Linked DNA regions of Macaca mulatta. The protein of the gene in region 1 interacts with the protein of each later gene in a pairwise test. Links are inferred from orthologs where the notes say so. Each region holds a gene or a part of one and is shown in the gene's direction. Other genes may lie near its edges.

What was found.
Region 2: the proteins of KIFAP3 (region 1) and NCF2 interact in binary tests that used the Homo sapiens proteins (3 or more experiments, as listed by UniProt). The two-hybrid records come from large-scale screens. The link is inferred for Macaca mulatta from reciprocal best matches to the Homo sapiens genes KIFAP3 and NCF2.
Region 3: the proteins of KIFAP3 (region 1) and NAA10 interact in binary tests that used the Homo sapiens proteins (3 or more experiments, as listed by UniProt). The two-hybrid records come from large-scale screens. The link is inferred for Macaca mulatta from reciprocal best matches to the Homo sapiens genes KIFAP3 and NAA10.

Annotation. Positions count from the first base shown.
Region 1 is NC_133406.1:27,543,146-27,549,627, reverse strand, and holds part of KIFAP3 (kinesin-associated protein 3), read left to right. Parts: intron 1-1,594; coding exon 1,595-1,650; intron 1,651-2,451; coding exon 2,452-2,593; intron 2,594-5,367; coding exon 5,368-5,467; intron 5,468-6,413; coding exon 6,414-6,482. UniProt on the Homo sapiens protein: Involved in tethering the chromosomes to the spindle pole and in chromosome movement. Binds to the tail domain of the KIF3A/KIF3B heterodimer to form a heterotrimeric KIF3 complex and may regulate the membrane binding of this complex.
Region 2 is NC_133406.1:41,050,961-41,057,442, reverse strand, and holds part of NCF2 (neutrophil cytosol factor 2), read left to right. Parts: intron 1-708; coding exon 709-843; intron 844-2,041; coding exon 2,042-2,149; intron 2,150-3,426; coding exon 3,427-3,486; intron 3,487-5,088; coding exon 5,089-5,132; intron 5,133-6,482. UniProt on the Homo sapiens protein: Subunit of the phagocyte NADPH oxidase complex that mediates the transfer of electrons from cytosolic NADPH to O2 to produce the superoxide anion (O2(-)).
Region 3 is NC_133426.1:160,173,709-160,179,346, reverse strand, and holds the end of NAA10 (N-alpha-acetyltransferase 10), read left to right. Parts: intron 1-516; coding exon 517-589; intron 590-636; coding exon 637-785; intron 786-985; coding exon 986-1,030; intron 1,031-2,278; coding exon 2,279-2,363; intron 2,364-2,903; coding exon 2,904-3,140; 3' UTR 3,141-3,206; downstream 3,207-5,638. UniProt on the Homo sapiens protein: Catalytic subunit of N-terminal acetyltransferase complexes which display alpha (N-terminal) acetyltransferase activity. Acetylates amino termini that are devoid of initiator methionine.

The DNA of each region.
Region 1 (6,482 bases):
CACTGCACTCCATCCTGACAACAGACCAAGACTCCGTCTCAAAAAAAAAAAAAAGCAAAAATAGACATTTTGAACGTGATTGCTTCTAATCACATACCTGGCATTGTTAAGTACTATGTAGATAAGGAAAATATTATCAAGGACAATTTGTATTAAGTATTTTGTTAATAGAATATTCTTGTTAAGATGTCTGTAAATGATGAGAGATCACATAGTCCAATAAATCCAAGGAGAAAAGCAAATCTGGTAGTCTTTTAAGATCTGTGTCTACTTATTGTAGGTTGTACAGTATAGTTAAAGTTGATCTTTCCTAGTGCCAAATTAATATAATTCTGAAGGCATTTAGAATAAAGTATCTTTGAACCAGTAAAAACTCTTTCACTGTGTTTTCAGGGCAAATCAGTGGTTTTACCTTGCTCCCCAGAAATTAGAGGAATATGAAAAAATGTTCATGTCATCATACATGGATAAAATAATTCAAATCAATATTTTCTCTATCTGGGTAGAGTATTATTAATAATTGAAGACATAGGAAATGCTTTAGGAAGTGTATATTAAATATATGCTTTTTTTTACACTACTGGTTTTCTTTGTTAAAATTCTTTTACTTGGCAAGCAGTATTCCAAAGCCAGAAATCTTATCTTAAAAGCAATTGAAACAATAATACTTACTTGGTTGTGTAATTCATTACATTCAGTGATTTTTTTTTGCATAATTAAAACCACTGTCTTAGTAAATTATCTGTCTGAAGCAGAATTAAGTTGTTGAGAATGTATGATCTTATATAGAATGAGTGCTGTCCTCTGAAAATAATGACTAATTCTATCATATATTTATTTGCTAATTATGGAATCAAAAATTTTGATAACATTCTAACTTACTTTAATGTACATACATTACTTAGACTTATAATCCAGATCAATAAAGTATTTGATAGTTTTTTTGTTAAAAAATGAAATTATGCCATTAATTAGATAATTCAATATAAACGAATGGCTCAAACTTGTGTTCAGCACCTTTGGATAACTCTTTATTTGGGAATAAGTGGGGATTTAATTAATATAAGTAATAAATGTTTGCCTTTTAATTTATGATATTAATTTTACTTGTTAAAAAAGAACCAGTTAACAACTATTCTATATCTTAGGTTTTAAATTTACCAATTTTTATTTCTTTCTGCTTTGTTAATTTTCATTTTAGTTTTTATATTACTCAAGTCATACTTTTTTCTTTGCCTTATTGATTTTCCTATTCCTACCTTAAATTTGAACTAGGAAGGGAAAGAGAGGATACTTAGAGCAGACTGTTTTGCTGCTTGTTGGCAAGTCTGACTGTATACCTTACATACCCAAAAAGTTAACCAAGGAGGAAGTTGGTGATATAGATTTTATTAGTTTATGCTCTCCTTGATATCCTCATTTGATCGAATTGATTATATATGAGCATTTTTATACATTGAAAAGAGATTATTTCATAAACTGGTTTTAATATCCCCAGTTTAGCTAGAATTAAACTCAGCTGCTGAAAATAAAAATTACCTAGAAACCCTAAAAACCTAATTCTCCTTATTTAAAAAAAAAAATCTTGTTACAGAGAAAAAAGAAAAATCAAGCAAGCCTAAAGATCCACCTCCTTTCGAAGGAATGGAGGTAAGACTGCATGCGTTCTGATCTAATAGAGGACTGAATTATCAGATATTGCCTTTTTCCATCAATAATACACACAATCACATTAAGCATGTGGTATTTTTTTAAAAATGACTGAACTCAGGTACCTGAGAAAGGTAGAAAACCATTATTTAATTGAAAAAGACAAAAAGTATTGGTTCTGCTTTTTTTTTGCGTGATCTCGGCTCACCACAACCTCTGCTTCCCGGGTTCAAGCGATTTTCCTGCCTCAGCCTCCTGAGTAGCTGGGATTACAGGTGCGTGCCACCACGCCCAGCTAATTTTTGTATTTTTAGTAGAGACGGGGCTTCACCATGTTGGTCAGGCTGGTCTCGAACTCCTGACCTTGTGATCTGCCCGCCTCGGCCTCCCAAAGTGCTGGGATTGTAGCTGTGAGCCGCTGTACCTGTGGCTGGTTGTGCTTTCTAAACAATTAATTTTGGTAAATGATGGGCAAAAATGTTTACATATTCTTATTGTAATATGTTGTGAAATATTGTTTAATCTACTATAGTAGATACAAATATTTTTTATTACATTTAAGATACTTTATATTGATAAACAATTTTTAAAGTTTATATACATCTCATTTTATCATGGGGTTTTGTATTAGAGTCCTAGGTCTAAAGATCTAAAATTTCCCTATCCAAAAGGATGGTTACTGTGAGTTCTTTGGAAATTTCTGTATTGTTATATCTGTATTGATCACAAAATATTATTTCTTTGACAGTGGATCTGTTGAGCATTGTTGATGAGTACTTTCTGCTTCTTCCTTTGTTTCAGATTGATGAAGTTGCTAACATTAATGACATGGATGAATATATTGAGTTGTTATATGAAGATATTCCTGACAAGGTTCGGGGTTCTGCTTTGATCCTGCAGCTTGCTCGAAATCCTGATAACTTGGAAGAACTACTATTAAATGGTGATTACCATAAAACATGTTTAATCATAATAGATGAATAAGTTACAATTATTTATACAAAACTTAAGACTGCATATATTTTCCAGCTCTTTATTTCTTTCTACTCAGATTTCTTAAATTGAGAGCATAGCATTTAAATATTCTCCGGAGAATTCACAAACCGTTTAATGTAAACAAGGAAAATTAAGCATTAATGGTACTATACCTTTTCTTTCTTCTACTCTGGGAAACTCTTTTATTGTTTCAATTAGAATATAAGATCAAACTACAGACATTTGCATAAATATATATATCATGTTTTATTAAAGTTCCAGTATTAGTTTTTTCTCAGTAGCACAGGGAAAGCTATTAATCTTTGCAGTTTCATTGAGATTGAATTTCACATCAAGTATTTGCTTTCCTTTCACTGGAAGTACTTGATAGTAACAAGAAAAGGAGATAGAATGTTTTTAACACCCTTTTCTCAGTAATACCACTATAGAATCATTTTTGTTTTGTTTTGTTTTGTTTTGTTTTGTTTTTGTTTTTGAGACAAGGTCTCCCTCTGTTGCCCAGGCTGGAGTGCGGTGGCACGATCTCTGCTCACTGCGACCTTCGGCTCACTGCAACCTCCGCCTCCCGGGTTCATGTGATTCTCCCGTCTCAGCCTCCTGAGTAGCTGGGATTACAGGCATGTGCCACCATGCCCGGCTAATGTGTGTGTGTGTGTGTGTGTGTGTGTGTGTGTGAAGTAGAGACAGGGTTTCACCATATTGGTCAGGCTGATCTGAAACTCCCGACCTCAGGTGATCTACCCGCCTCTGCTTTCCAAAGTGCTGGGATTACAGGCATGAGCCACCGCACGCCCTGCCTATAGAATCATTTTAAATCCATAGTTTTCTGATTATACATTTATCAAAAACAAAATAGGAAAGATGTGTTTATTATCTGGTTTGCATTACATGAGAGAGAATGCCTTTCTGGTTGTTGCCAAATACCTGGATAAAATAATTCAAATCAATAGTTTTCTCAATCAGTATTTTCAAATAAGTATTTCAAATGCCTTTTCTGCTATATGCTTGCCATTCTTTTATGAAATAGATAATTCTTGAAAACTTATTCTGTGGCAGGTACTGTTCCATATTTTCATGGAATTGTTTTAGTGTTCCCTCTCCTTCTGTTCCATTGGGTTTATTTGATTATTTACATACCGATACCACACTATTGTTGTGTTGTTTTTTATTTTGACTTGAACTTTAGAATATGTGGGAAAAAATGTTCCAAATTGCTTTCTTTCCCCAAGAATTGGCTTTACTGGTCTTGCACATTTGTCTTATATACTTTGAGATTACTTCATCATATTCTGTGAAAAGTCATAATGGGATTTTGATTATGATTGCATTCAATGTAGAAATTAATTTGGGATTGTCTTTTAACCTCTTGTAAACTATATTTTCTTTTAGCTGTTTCTTGGTAAACTGTGTACAACTCCTGTAACTGTATTTTTATTGAGATGTTCTGTTTTAAAGGAGAAAAATGAAATAAAATTTTGCAAATAGGTCACTAAACCTATACCTAAATTTATGACATTATAGAACAGTTCTGTATAGGCTAGTATTTTAAGAAATACTATTTTCTCTGGATTATAATGGTCAAATACCTTTGGGAATTACTAGATTGAACAAAGCTATACCGGATTCTTTATTAAATAGGACTTTTGGGAGGCTTTGCATGTTAATATGCATTGCCAATCTATTTACATGACTCCAAAATAATTTTTTTCAAAGCATATACTATTCCAGTTCTCTGCATTGTGAATATGAATAATACTGTGAAATGCTATCATAGGATGATTTTTAATTTGCTAAAAAATTTGTCACTATGTGGATTCATAACTAATACAATTAATTTTTGTTCATAGTCCGAATAGCCAGAAAGCTCAAATATGGAACATTTTCATTACCATAATAAATACTTATAATGCAGTCCATAAAGTACTATTGTAAATCCTGAGTATCTATTAAAAACAGTGGAATTATGATTTTTATATTTTAACATACAGATATTTTGTTTTAATTATTTTAAGAATTAGTATGCCATGTACCAACCCAATTTGAAACTATGTCATTAATTTATAATTTTCATTTCCTGAAGAGAAAATTTTAGCAGAAATGCTTATTAACCTACCTGAAAGTTAATTTTGTGAAAGCTTTTTGTTTTATTTGCAGCTATTAGCATAAATTCAGTGTGATACTGAAATATTAAATTTATTTTTCTGTGTATAGATTTTATTTGGTTTTTAATTTACTTTAATGGAACTAGTGTTAGTCTACTAAACTGCTCTTTTTTTCTAGACTTATTCAAGTTTTTTTCATATTATCAAATACATTAAATCAGATGTTAAAAAGAAAAAAATCAGTACTGCAGTAGTAAGAGTACAGTTCTTAATCTTACAAATTAAGATTGCAGTTCTTAATTTAAGATTATTAAATTAAAAAATGAAAGGCTTTTTAATTATTTTATTGTTACCATAATATATATTATGTCACTTTATCTAAATCATATTTGATTACTTCTGTGTACAGTATATACTTGAAGTAGCATTTTACGTATCTTTAAGTAAAGTTACATTTTAGTTTTAAAAGTAGCTGTCCGTATTGGAAAGAAGCATACTACTTTTTGTCCCAGTTCTATCTTAGCTTTGTTATTTATTAATAACTAGACATTTAAAACCAATCACCCTTTATACCAGAGCAAGGAGAATGATCATTTCGGTACTTCTCCTTTTTCTTTAGAAACTGCCCTTGGTGCATTAGCAAGGGTCCTGAGAGAAGACTGGAAGCAAAGTGTTGAGTTAGCTACAAACATAATTTACATCTTTTTTTGCTTTTCCAGGTGAGTATAAAAATTATTAAATCAAATGACTACTGTATCTCTATTGCTGTTTGTGTCATTGATTCAATATGTAGATCACTCGTTCTCTCAGTTTCTCTGTGTGTCTGCCTATGCTGTACCGCTAAATTCTTATTCCTGTTTCCCATTTTCTGTCTTGCTATCTGTTATTCTATCTTTCATTTAGTCTATACTCACTCATGCCTCAGTTTCCTTATGAGTAAAATTTGGATAGTAATAGTCGCACCCTCTTTGGATAGTTTTTCGAATTAAATGAATTAAAAATTAAAATGCTTAGAATAAGGCCTGACCCACAGTAAGTGCTCAGTAAATGTTATTGTTATATATATGCATGTATGTGCAAATACATACCTATTATGTATTCATATTTATTATTTATGCACATATATCCTTAAGAAAGATGTTTATTAAAACGTTACGAAAAGTTCTAGCCAATTCCTAGAGAATTGCTGCTTCTGTTCTAAAAATGTGCTAGTATTAGCAAATAATTGTTTATTGAATAAATACTTGGATGAATGAATTGTCCAGAAAACATATGTAAAACCTAATTACTAGTACTTTACTAATTGATGTCAGTTTTACACAATAAATAAAATGTATGTCTAGTATTGATACATTATTGTTTTGTTAGACAATAATCTAAAAATCTATTGTGAATATCTGAGTAGTTAATATGGTGGTTAGTTACAAAAAATGTCTACTTTCTAACTTCTTAAAAATAACTGTATTTTAGGTAAGGGTAGTGTGATATATTTAAAATAATTTTATAATCTCAAGTCTTTCTAGTAGTGTATTGTTGATATATCTTTTAAAATATGTATATCAAATTTATTTTCTACATGGTTTGTACCATTGATCACCAAAAACAAATTTCCTGTACCCATAAAATGTATTCTTTTAAATATATATTAAAATGTCTTCTTTAAAGCTTTTCTCAGTTTCATGGACTTATTACTCATTATAAAATTGGAGCTCTGTGTATGAATATTATTGATCA
Region 2 (6,482 bases), about 14 Mb from region 1:
CAACCCTGTGTCTGCCTCTAGAAGGAGCCTTGAGCAAGTCACTCTTTCTTTTTTTTTTTTTTGAGACGGAGTCTCGCTCTGTCGCCCAGGCTGGAGTGCGGTGGCCGGATCTCAGCTCACTGCAAGCTCTGCCTCCCGGGTTTATGCCATTCTCCTGCCTCAGCCTCCCGAGTTGGGACTACAGGCGCCCACCACCTCGCCCGGCTAGTTTTTTTTTTGTATTTTTTAGTAGAGACGGGGTTTCACTGTGTTAGCCAGGATGGTCTCGATCTCCTGACCTCGTGATCCGCCCGTCTCGGCCTCCCAAAGTGCTGGGATTACAGGCTTGAGCCACCGCGCCCGGCCATCAAGTCACTCTTTCACTAAAGCAACTCACACTAAAACAGCACAACAATTCTTCTTCTTCTTTTTTAACCGGTTTGAATACACTGTATACAATAGTTCTTGTCCGTTCCTAACCTATTTGGTTGTTAGAAGAGTACACATGATGTTGCATTGATGCATTCCATGGTGTTTTCTTAACACCATATTTGTGTTTGATGTACCTCAATAGCAAGACTAACTGCACTATATTTTAGATATTCCCAGGAGAGCTGAGGAAGGGAGAAAGGCCACCAGCAACACTCCCGGAGTACACGTGTGAGCCCTTCCCCGGCACCTTGATTTGGAGTAGTCTCAAATTTTATGTTGCGGTCTGTACTTTTCTAGGTGTTATATAACATTGCTTTCATGTATGCCAAGAAGGAGGAATGGAAAAAAGCTGAAGAACAGTTAGCATTGGCCACGAGCATGAAGTCTGAGCCCAGACATTCCAAAATCGACAAGGCCATGGAGTGTGTCTGGGTAAGCGTATTGGTGATGCAGGTGGGGAGAGGATTTCACTGGATTCTCATTTGTCTCAGAGGACATGCCATTGAGAAGCCATAAAAGTGGTGCTTTTACTTTCTGAGTCTGGGTAACACAGATGTTAGGGTATAGTTCCACTTACGATCTTGAATCTGTGCTGAGAACCTGAGGCCTAGAGTATGGGATGGCAGAGGCCTGGCAGCACACCGCCCTCGCAGTGGGGCTCCTGGGCAATGCAGAACAGGATACTGGATGCTGGAGCGGCACTGCACAGACTGTAAGCACTGAGAGGGCAGACACCATGTCTGCTGGATCACCACTGAGTCCTCACAGCCTGGCACAATGCTAGGCACGTAACAGCTCTCAGCAAAAATGTTTTGTTTTGTTTTGTTTTGTTTTGAGATGGAGTCTCGCTCTGTTGCCCAGCATGGAGTACAGTGGTGTGATCTCGGCTCACTGCAGCCTCCGCCTCCTGGGTTCAAGCAATTCTCCTGCCTCAGCCTCCTAAGTAGCTGGGATTACAGGTGCATGCCGCCATGCCTGGCTAATTTTTGTATTTTTAATAGAGATGGGGTTTTGCCATGTTGGCCACGCAGGTCTCGAACTGCTGACCTCCGGTGATCTGCCCACCTTGGCCTCCCAAAGTGTAGGAATTATAGGGGTGAGCCACCACGCCTGCCCACAAAATGTTTTGATTATGTGAATGAGTGATAAAAATTAGCCATCGTTCAAGCATATTTGTGAATAAGGCTAGCTTTAAATCCGATTTTTAAAACACAGAGAAGAGGACTCAAGTCAGTGTTTATATGCCTATCCTCGTCAGCAGACACTCATCCAAGGGAACACTGTTATGAGCCTCACTTAATCCCGGGCCAGCCTCGTCGCGGTGGTGCCGTCTACACCATTAGAGAACCCCACGGACACCACACAGAGAGGGAGAGGAGCAGTTCCTCTGGGAAAAGAGGGTGCTGGGCATATAGCAGCAAACAACGTCCACGTGGCCTCACAGCAGAAGGTGGTATTCAAACCAGGGGTTCCTACCTTAACACCCTAGAGCAATGACAACACTCATTTGGAAAAAGTGCTTCTATGTGGTTATCTCAATAAATTCTTGCATCTATTCGCTGAGGGAGGCAGGACAAGCATCGTCACCCCCATTTTCAGATAAGGAAATGCTACGTTTTCTGTGTTACAGAAGCAGAAGCTGTACGAGCCAGTGGTGATCCCTGTGGGCAGGCTGTTTCGACCAAATGAGAGACAAGTGGCTCAGCTGGCCAAGAAGGATTACCTAGGCAAGGCGACGGTAGGTGTCCCCTGAGTCTCCTGTGGCCTGGGCCATGTGGAGCAAGGTGGGAGGGACTCTTGAGAAGAGGGCAGCCTCCTTGTGGCTCTGTCCCTGGGATGGCAACAAGAGACTTGTTTATAGGACAGAGGTTTGGCTGAAAGATAGGCAACCACTTCTAGTTTATTTTCTCCAGGCTGCTCCCATTCCTCCCTTCCAGCTTGACCCTGGGTGAGAGCCATAGGGTTCCCCACAGGATGCTGAGTCTTGGGGACTGAGCCAGTGGAGGGAAAACACAGCCATGAGGAGCTCACTAAATGTGAAGAGAAGGCCAGGCAGGGTGGCTCATGCCTGTAATCCTAGCGCTTTGGGAGGCTGAAGTGGGAGGATCACTTGTGGCCAGGAGTTTGAGACCAGCCTAGCTAGTGGAGAGGCTGTGAGGCGAAAGGGTCACTTGAGCCCAGGAGTTCAAGGCTACAGTGAACTATGATTGCACCACTGTACTCTAGCCTGGGCAACAGAGTGAGACTCTGTTTCTAAATAATAAAAACAAATATGGAAAGAATATGTTGGGGAAAGAGATCAGCATGGGTTCCTCTTGGATTAATGCTCCTTGTAGTTCACGTGTTAGTGGGCTGAGGAGTGTTTCCCTACTTCCACAGCCCTGTGTTTAGACTATGTCTTAAATTGCACTTCTTCTAAATCCAGGTCTTGGCCGGGCGTCGTGGCTCACGCCTGTAATCCCAGCACTTTGGGAGGCCGAGGCAGGTGAATCATGAGGTCAGGAGTTCAAGACTAGGCTGGTCAACATGGTGATACCCCGTCTCTACTAAAAATACAAAATTAGCCAGGTGCTGCGGTGCATGCCTGTAGTCCCAGCTACTTGGGAGGCTGAGGCAGGAGAATCGCTTGAACCTGGAAGGCGGAGGCTGCAGTGAGCCGAGATTGCGCCACTGCACTCCAGCCTGGGCAACAGAGCATGACTCTGTCTCAAAACAAAACAAAACAAAACAAAAAACAAAAAAGGGTAATTTGACGTTACACAAATTGCACCTCAATAAAAACATTTGTTTTTAGAGAGGAGAAAGCAAGCCTCTGTTAGCAGGGGTTGGGTGAATACTCGTTTCCTCAGTTGCTGAAATCCTAATCCAGAGGATCAGGAATCTAATCCTCAGTTACTGTCCACGTCTGAAACCAGGCTCAAGTGAGAACCGGTCTAGGGCATGAGCAAGGAGGGAGAGCCAGAAGAATGGAAACCGTGCTGGCAGAGCCTCACACCCTCCTGTCCTTGATTTCAGGTTGTGGCGTCTGTAGTGGATCATGACAGTTTCTCTGGGTTTGCCCCTCTGCAACCACAGGTGAGGCAATCCTGACCTTCTCCATGGACCTAGGTCTCAAGAGCTTTCTGTGAAGCATTCGATTCGAGAGACTATGTGTGCTGAGCTGCCTTATTGAAAGGGCTCCTTCAAGTGGCCCTCAGTGCAGCTGAGGGATCTGCCTGCCCTCTCTCAGTCCTGGGTTCCATGGCTGGTAAGGAAATAAGGCAGTGTCAGGCTTCACCCCAAGTCCTCTGAAGCTAACTCTCCTGCCTCCCCACAAATGCCAGTCTTCACGTCTCTAAAGAGATCTGCTGATACTCTCTCTGAAGCCTCAACCATTCTCTCAGGAAGGTGAAACACAAGTTATGGAAGGCTTGTTAACAAAGCCTCTTCTTGAGTACGGGGCAAGTGGGGAACCCTGTGGGGCCTGGGTCTGAGGTTTGGGCTCTCCTGGCTCTACCCATCTGCTCATGTGCAGGCGTTTCCTTCGGGAACACAGGCAGGGCGCTGAGAGTGAACCTTTTTCTGTCCAAACTGGGCTTGGAGAGGTGGGCTCAGATGAACTGGATGACAGTGGATCTAGAAATGCAGACAGAGATTCCTTGCGAAGGGAAGAGGGGAAAACGCATTGAGGAAAATAGGAACTCTGTGGCAATGAAACTGTGATGGTGAAGAGCATTGGTCAGCACCAGCAGAGGGCGGGTTTTCTGAGCAGGGGCAGGTATGTTCCAGATCTAGATTCCTTGATCTCTTTCTTCACAATAAAGCTGATGAAAGCCTTGCTGAAGTCCCTTGAGCTTCAGTTCAGCCAGAGGCCATGAAGGGAACGCAGCCCAGGTCACTGGATCCCTTGGTATTCAGTGTAGAACAGGGGAGGAGATTCTTGCCCAGTCAGTGGAATCCTGTGTCAATTTTAAATACTCAGAAGTGGCCAGGCGCAGTGGCTCATGCCTGTAATCCCATCATTTTTGGGAGGTTGAGGTGAGCAGATCACTTGAGGCCAGGAATTCCAGACCAGTCTGGCCAACATGGTGAAACTCCCATCCCTACTAAAAATACAAAAATTAGCAGGGTGTGGTGGCACATGCCTGTAATTCCAGCAACATGGGATGCTGAGGCAGGAGAATCACTTGAACGAGGGAGGCAGAAGTTGCAGTGAGCCAAGATCACACAACTGCACTCCAGCCTGGGCGACAGAGTGAAACTCTATCTCAAAAAAAAAAAAAAAATTTTTTTTAATTAATTTTAAAATACTTAGAAGTGTCATGTGACATAGTAGACATTAATTACAGAACAGAGCTTCTGGAAACTCTCCTGGGAAAAGGACAGAGCTCAAGGTCAAAGCATTCTTGTGACACCATGTTGCTGTGTGACTGCTAACCTCCAGAAACTAGCTCTGGCTCAAAATGAATTGCTGCGCTAGTGAAACCTACACCTGGGGAGCTAGTGGGAGGTGTTATTTCCCAGTGTTTAGTCAGGGTGACTGTGCCCCCTTCCTAGACAGTGTTCCCATCAGTCAGAAATGCATTATTTGACGTTTTGGTCTGGAAGAATGCTCAAATTACCATTAGCCATTTGTTGTCTCTCCCCTGCTTTCCCTCATTGCCTTTTCCATTTTCACTTCTCCTGAATATTCAATAGGCAGCTGAGCCTCCACCCAGACCGAAAACCCCAGAGATCTTCAGGTAAGTTAGATTTAAATCCATATGCAGAATATCTAAGCTCCAAGCCTGAACCGATGGCAAGAGAGGGAGGGAAGAAGATGAAGCTGGGGTCAGAGTCTAAATCCTGTGGAATTTTCTAGAATGTCAGGTTTCTTCTAGAATGTCAGGCTTGAAAGGAATGTTTAGAAGAATGTCTTCTAGAATGTCAGGCTAGAAAGGAATGACATGTGGGGATGGGAGTCTTGACCGAGGTGGAGCTGGCCATCAGGGCCTGGCTGCAGATACATGGTTCCCAATGGCCCTCTGTCCACGTGCACAGCCAACCACATGGCAAGGGGTTGTTGCTGAGGGGCAGTGGTGTCCTGTGGAACATAGCTACCCTGGGGACCAGGATGCTGACCTCACGTTGGAGATCAGTTTCGCATTGGCTGCGGTCCCCTCTGATGGGGGCAGGCCAGAGCTCTCCGGAGTCAGGAATGTAGAATGGCATCCTTTTTCCTGTGTAGGCGTTTTCCACTCCCTATCGGCACATGCTTTCTGAAGAAGTAAAGAGGAAGGACTCAAGAAAAGGAAGTCCTTCTTCTGTAAGATGAAAAACAAAGGGTGTCATAACCTACAGCTTTCTTAAGAATTATCTCGAAGTGATGAAGCAAGCCTGGTCCTCCCACCCAAAAAGGAGGTTTTAAAAAGTGATTGCCCAGGCGTGGTGGCTCATGCCTATAATCCCAGCACTTTGGGAGACCGGGGTGGGCGGATCACTTGAGATCAGGAGTTCGAGACCAGCCGGGCCAATGTGGCAAAACCCCATCTCTACTAAAAATACAAAAATTAGCTGAGTGTGGTGATGCGTGCCTGTAATCCCAGCTACTCGGGAGGCTGAGGCAGGAGACTCACTTGCACCTGGGAGGTGGAGGTTGCAGTGAGCCAAGATCACGTCGCTGCACTCCAGCCGAGGCAACAGACCAAGATTCCGTCTCAAAAAATAAAAATAAAACTAAAAAGTGACAAAAGTACCAAAGCAACTACAAAAATGAGGGGCTGGATGAGCTCATTCCTAAGCTCCCTGTCAGCTGCAAGGGCCTGTATTCCCTACAGGAATAGCCTGGAATAGTCTGGAAACAAGGAAGGGCTGAGGGGAAAGTAACAGAGTGGGGAGTAAAGGGAGGGAAGCCTGAAACCTGAACACCAACCTCTCAATCACACGTTCCAAAGTGACGCCAATCAGAGCCTCAGAGCCTAAAAGCATGAAGTCAGACTTAAGGGAACCGACACTGCACCACAGCAGCTGGGCAGTCTCAGAGCCCTCTATGTGCCTCCCTCACGCTCCCTGTCACCTACCCTGCTCACCGTCTCCCTACCCTGGCCTAACAC
Region 3 (5,638 bases), on another chromosome or scaffold:
GACAGCTCATTTCTTTTTTTATTTTTATTTTTTGAGATAGGGTCTTGCTCTGTTGCCCAGGCTGGAGTGCAGTGGCATGATCATGGCTCACTGCAGCCTCAACTTCCCAGGCTCAAGTGATCCTCTCACCTCTGCCTCCCAAGTAGCTGAGACCACAGGCATGCGCCACCACACCCAGCTAATTTTTTGATTTTTTTTTTTTTGTAGAGACAAAAAAAGTGTTGTCCAGGCTGGTCTCAAACTCCTGGGCTCAAGCAATCCTCTTGACCCGGCCTGCCGAGTAGCTGGAACTATAGGCGTGTGCCCCATACCTGGCAGGCATGGGGTTTTCAGGCAGTAGAGGGTGGCAGGATCAGCTGCTCTGATCCAAGAGGCTCCTGGCCCTCCCCCAGCTGGGGTCTTAGGGGGCTGTAGGGCCAGCCTAGAATTTGCATATCCACTTTACAGATGGCGGGGGGTGGGGGTGGCTGTGCCTACACTGAGCTCCTTTGCAGCCTCTGCTTTGTCCCTCTCCAGGGAAGAGGACCCAGATGATGTGCCCCATGGACATATCACTTCATTGGTATGTAAGGTTCACTCAGGCTCTCTGGTGGGGGTGGAAGTGGGGGTTAGTTGAGGCAGCCCTCAAGGTCCCAGTCCTTCACCCGCTCTCTGCTCTTCTCCTACCAGGCTGTGAAGCGTTCCCACCGGCGCCTCGGTCTGGCTCAGAAACTGATGGACCAGGCCTCTCGAGCCATGATAGAGAACTTCAATGCCAAATACGTCTCCCTGCATGTCAGGAAGAGGTGGAAGCCGGGCTGAGGGAAGGGGGATTGAGGGGGAGAGATATTGCCTTGACGGGGGTCCTGGGGTACCTCGGCTTTTGGTGAAGATCCAGGAAGTGGGATTGGGGTGAAGGAGGGACCAAGAGGAGGGGCAGGCACTGGACGTGCTACCCCTCCCTGGCCATGTCCGTGCAGCTCAGCAGTGCCTTGTTCCCCTGCAGTAACCGGGCCGCCCTGCACCTCTATTCCAACACCCTCAACTTTCAGTAAGTAGATCTCGAGTTTTCTCGTGGGCTGGGGTTGGCCCCAGGTCTGGCCCATCAGGGCACCTGAGACCGGCTGAGTTGCCTTCCAGGCTAGGGGTGGGCCGGATGTGGGGAGGACGCTGTGGACCCCAGTGCTGCCAGGATGCCTCCACATTCACTCGGTGGCTGATGGTTGAAAAGCCGGCATGGAGACAGCACCTGCCTGCTGAAACGTGCTCCGTGTGTGTTGTGATGGAGGAGCTCTGGCCCATGCTGGCAGAGGCTGGTGAAGGGCACACGGGCTGTTTAGTAATGTTTGGGAATAAAGAGGTGTGGGTCCCTGGCGTGAGCAGATCATAGCATGGCCAAGCACCTGGAAGAATCCAAGAGAGAGCAGAATCAAGGAGAATGCACGTTCAGGAAGGAAGGACCGGCGGCCAGGCAACCTAGTGGATGGGGCAGGTCTGCCTGAGGACCGGGAGGCCCCGTGTGCCTAGCACAGGAGAGAGGACCTGGCAGTTAGCATGCCCAGTAGACAGTGGAAAAAAGTGCTTGCAAGTGAAGCTGGGGTGGGCTGCCCGTGGAGGGACACTAACTGCAGTCAGCCCCTGTTTGGCAGGGGTGAAGAGGAGGGACTGTTGGGAAGGGCAGTGGCCTCTGGGCTGGATGCTGGCAAGAGGGATCTGTGACCCAGATGAGGATGTCTGGTGGGAACTGCTTTATAGCTAAGTCAACAATCCTCATGTCTTAGGCCTGGCAGGGCCAGCCTAGGCCATTGAGTCCAGCTCCCCTTCCAGGGACATGGCCACCCGAGTCTGCACACATGCCTCCCCAGTGCAGGCATGGCCCCTGAGCTGCTCAGGCAGGGCCCGTGCTGCCTAGGGATGACTCCCCTAAACAGAGCTCACTGTCTTTCCTGGGTTCTGATGGCTGTTGTGAGGCAGCTCAGTAAGGGACAGGACGCAGGGCAGGGAGGGAAGGGGAAGGCTGAATTCAGGAATTCAGCTCACAAGAAACCACAGAAATGAATCCTTAGTAGCCAGGCTAAGGACACAGAACGGGGGCAGGACAGGGGTGGGGCGGGCCGCTGTTTCCTGGAGCCTTTGCTGGAGAGAACAGAGGGCAGGTCACACTGGACTTGCTGTCTCAGGAAGGAGCCCTTCAGGGAGAAAACACGGCATCTTGCTCCAGTAGCCATGATACTAGGAGTGGAGGAGGGTGTCCCCCAGGTATGGGTCTTCCTCCTTGCTCTCTACCCTCTGCCCCCAGGATCAGTGAAGTGGAGCCCAAATACTATGCAGATGGGGAGGACGCCTATGCCATGAAGCGAGACCTCACTCAGATGGCCGACGAGGTAAGAGCCTGCATGAAGCCAAGCCAGGCAAGCGGGGGTGGCATTGGGGAGCCCCGAGACAGTGGCTGGAGGTGCGACCAACTTTGAATGCCAGCCCTTGTGGCTATGTTGCCAGGAGTCACAACCTCAGTTTCCTAGGTTGGGCTTTAGAGGAGGCCGTCTGCCTAGCAGCCTGGAGGGTGATGGGAGAGGCAGAGGGAGGAGGCTTTTAGAAGGGAAGTGGGGAGGCCTGGGGACCAGTGGGTGGCCTGCCTGCTCAGAGGTAGTTCTGAGTCAGGGTTCTGCCCCAGGCTCCTTGGGTGGCAGGGCTGGTCAAGGGGCAACGCTGTGTCGTGGGGGCCTCCATGGTAGTCAGTGAGCCCAGGTAGCAGTGGACTGGGGCTCCAGCCAGGTGTCCCCACTCAGTCCCACGTGTCCTGCCTAGCCCTGCTGCCTCACTATGCCCCTCTCCTCAGCCAGCGACAGGGCCAGGCTCCCTTTGTCTGGAAACTTAGGCCCCATCTCTTTACCTCCTGCTTCTCCCTGGGTTCCTGGTGGCAGCTGAGGCGGCACCTGGAGCTGAAGGAGAAGGGCAGGCATGTGGTGCTGGGTGCCATCGAGAACAAGGTGGAGAGCAAAGGCAATTCACCTCCGAGCTCAGGAGAGGCCTGTCGCGAGGAGAAGGGCCTGGCTGCCGAGGATAGTGGTGGGGACAGCAAGGACCTCAGCGAGGTCAGCGAGACCACAGAGAGCACAGATGTCAAGGACAGCTCAGAGGCCTCCGACTCGGCCTCCTAGAGCCTGCCCCATCCCTTCCTCACCCCACGAGCTTTCACAATAAATTCGCTCCGTGGCACTGGGGAACTTCGTGTGTGTGCGTGTGCACATTTAGAGGGTGTGTTTCTCCAGGTCCTCTGGTGGGGAGGTGAGCCTCAGCCTTTTGACCCAGAGCATCCTGCCAGTCCGAATAGAAGGGAAGAGCTTTGGAGGTGGGACTCCCCAGTCTCATGGCCTTCAGCAGCTGTGGCCCCGGGAAGGAGGCCCTGGGCTTAGGGAGAGACCCTGCCTTGGAGGTCTGCTTGGCCACGCTGAATGTGTTTTGTGGCATAAGCCTGGGCCGCTTAGGCTCAAAGCTCAACAGCAGGGCTCCCACTCTTGGTAGCCTTCAGTTCTCCTCCCATCTTCACCTTCAGACCTTTTCTCTCCCTAATCACACCTGCTTTGGGCTACAGCAGCTCTGCGGCATAGCCGTGGGCTCCAGATGTGGACATCTGACTGCTCATTGGGCTTATCTACAGCTGTCCTGAGTATAATGACCCAGCCAGACGCCCTGTCAACGGTCCTTGAGTCCTCCCTTCCCTGCCACCCTAATGGTCAGTGAGTCCATGATACCTCTTGAGTCTACTCCCTGAGTTTGCATTTGAAAATAATTTATTTTTAGTACAATTCCCCCCGTTTGCCCTATTGACATTTTGTATTAGTTGGTGTATTTGTTATTGTTGATGAGCTAATACTGATAAGTTATTGTAAACTATAGCCCATGGTTTACATTAGGTTTCCTGTCTGTGTTGTACAGTTTCTATGGGGTTACACAAATACATAAAGCCATTTATTCCCTCAAAATAATTTCATGCAGAATACAAAACTGGGTGGCTGTTGGGTGCGGTGGCTCATGCCTGTAATCACAGCACTTTGGGAGGCCGAGGTGGGCGGATCACTTTAGCTCAGGAGTTGGAGACCAGCCTGGGCAGCATGGCGAAACCCCATCTCTACTAAAAATAGAAAACCAGGTGTGGTGGTGCACGCCTGTAATCCCAGCTACTCGGGAGGCTGAAGCAGGAGGATCCCTTGAGCCCGGGAGGTGGAGGTTGCTGTGAGCCCTGATCACGCCACCACACTCCAGGGACAGAGACCCGTCTCTAAATAAATAAATAAATAAATACACACACACCAAAATCCTGTTTTTCATGGAGTCACCCTAACCGTAACGCTCTCTCCTGTGTCTCCTCCCTTCCCTTCCCTCCGGCTGCAAAGCCATCGCTTGCTGTTCCTAGTCCCTGGGCGGGCCCTGTATTCCTGAGCCCTCTGTGTACCCTGCTACTGCAGGTGGCACTGCTCCTCCGCCAGGTTGAAAATTCGCCAAACAGACCTGGAGCTCGGTTCTCTTTGGCTGGCGCCTGGCACGTGACCAGCAGGCAGCCAGCTGCTGTGGAAGCGGAGCCCGGAGACCGGCAGGGCGGGGCCGGGGCCGGAAAGGCGCGTCTGCGCACGCCCGCAGCTCTCCGGTTCCCGGCTCGGGCGAGGCTGTGTTCTGATTGGCTTAAGACGTGGGCTTCCCTTTGTATGGGCCGGAGGCGGAGCTCTGGCCCGCCCCGCGCCTGGCGTCAGTGTCTTCCGGTTCGCAAGCCCGCGGCAAGCTTCGTTCCCAGGCTCTGATTGGTCCGGCGGCTCTGGGTTCTGCGCGTGGGGTGCGGGGGAAGGGCGGGCTTGGGCACTGCCTCGGCCGCGCCCCGGCGCCGGTGGAAGGGAGCTGGCCCAAGCTCCCACGGCGTCCGCGGCGCCCTCCTTCCGCCCCTGCCCGGCCCGCTGGACCCGTCCCTGGCGGGCCCGATGCCTGTCGGCCGCTCCCTCCGTCCCCATGCGGACAGGTCCCCGCCTTCTGCGGGCTGCCTGGCTTTTGAATGCTTTGAAGGGGAACAATGGAGCGAAGGATAGAGCGAGCAGCAGGGGGCAGTTGCGTTCAGGGCCTTAAATGCCAAACAAGTGCCCTAAAAGCCTGGGCCAAACACTCAGGCTCTAAAGCACGGGCTGAATGGGGCATCCTAGGAATAGCTCTGGAGTGAAAAAAAGAGCGAAGAGAGCGTTTGAAGCCACGGACTGAGGCCTTTCCTGCCTGCCTGAGCCCTGTGTCTGGCTCTGCTGGGTGGAGGGATCTTTGGGGACCAGTCGGGGCTCGGATGTGGGGGCCAGCTAGGGAGGGGCGGGGGTCCCTGCTTCCCCTTGGCCTGAGGCAGAGGTGGGACGTGGGAGTCTCCCAACCAGGAGCAGGTTAGGGTGTGGGTGCGGCTGTAGGCAGGGGCGCAGGCTCTCTAGTCTCGCTGGAGAACTCGAACATCGGTACTTCCGAGGGCAGCTGCTGGAAGTCCAGGTCCTGGGCCTGCCTGGGTCTGGCTAGCTCCCAGGCCTTGAAGCCCCAGGTCCTGCAGACACACTCGACGACGTGTTCGGGAAGGGCCTTGGTACTGGGAGAAGGGGGAGGGGAGGTGAGGGAGTGTTTTTTCCCTTCTGGGCAAGAG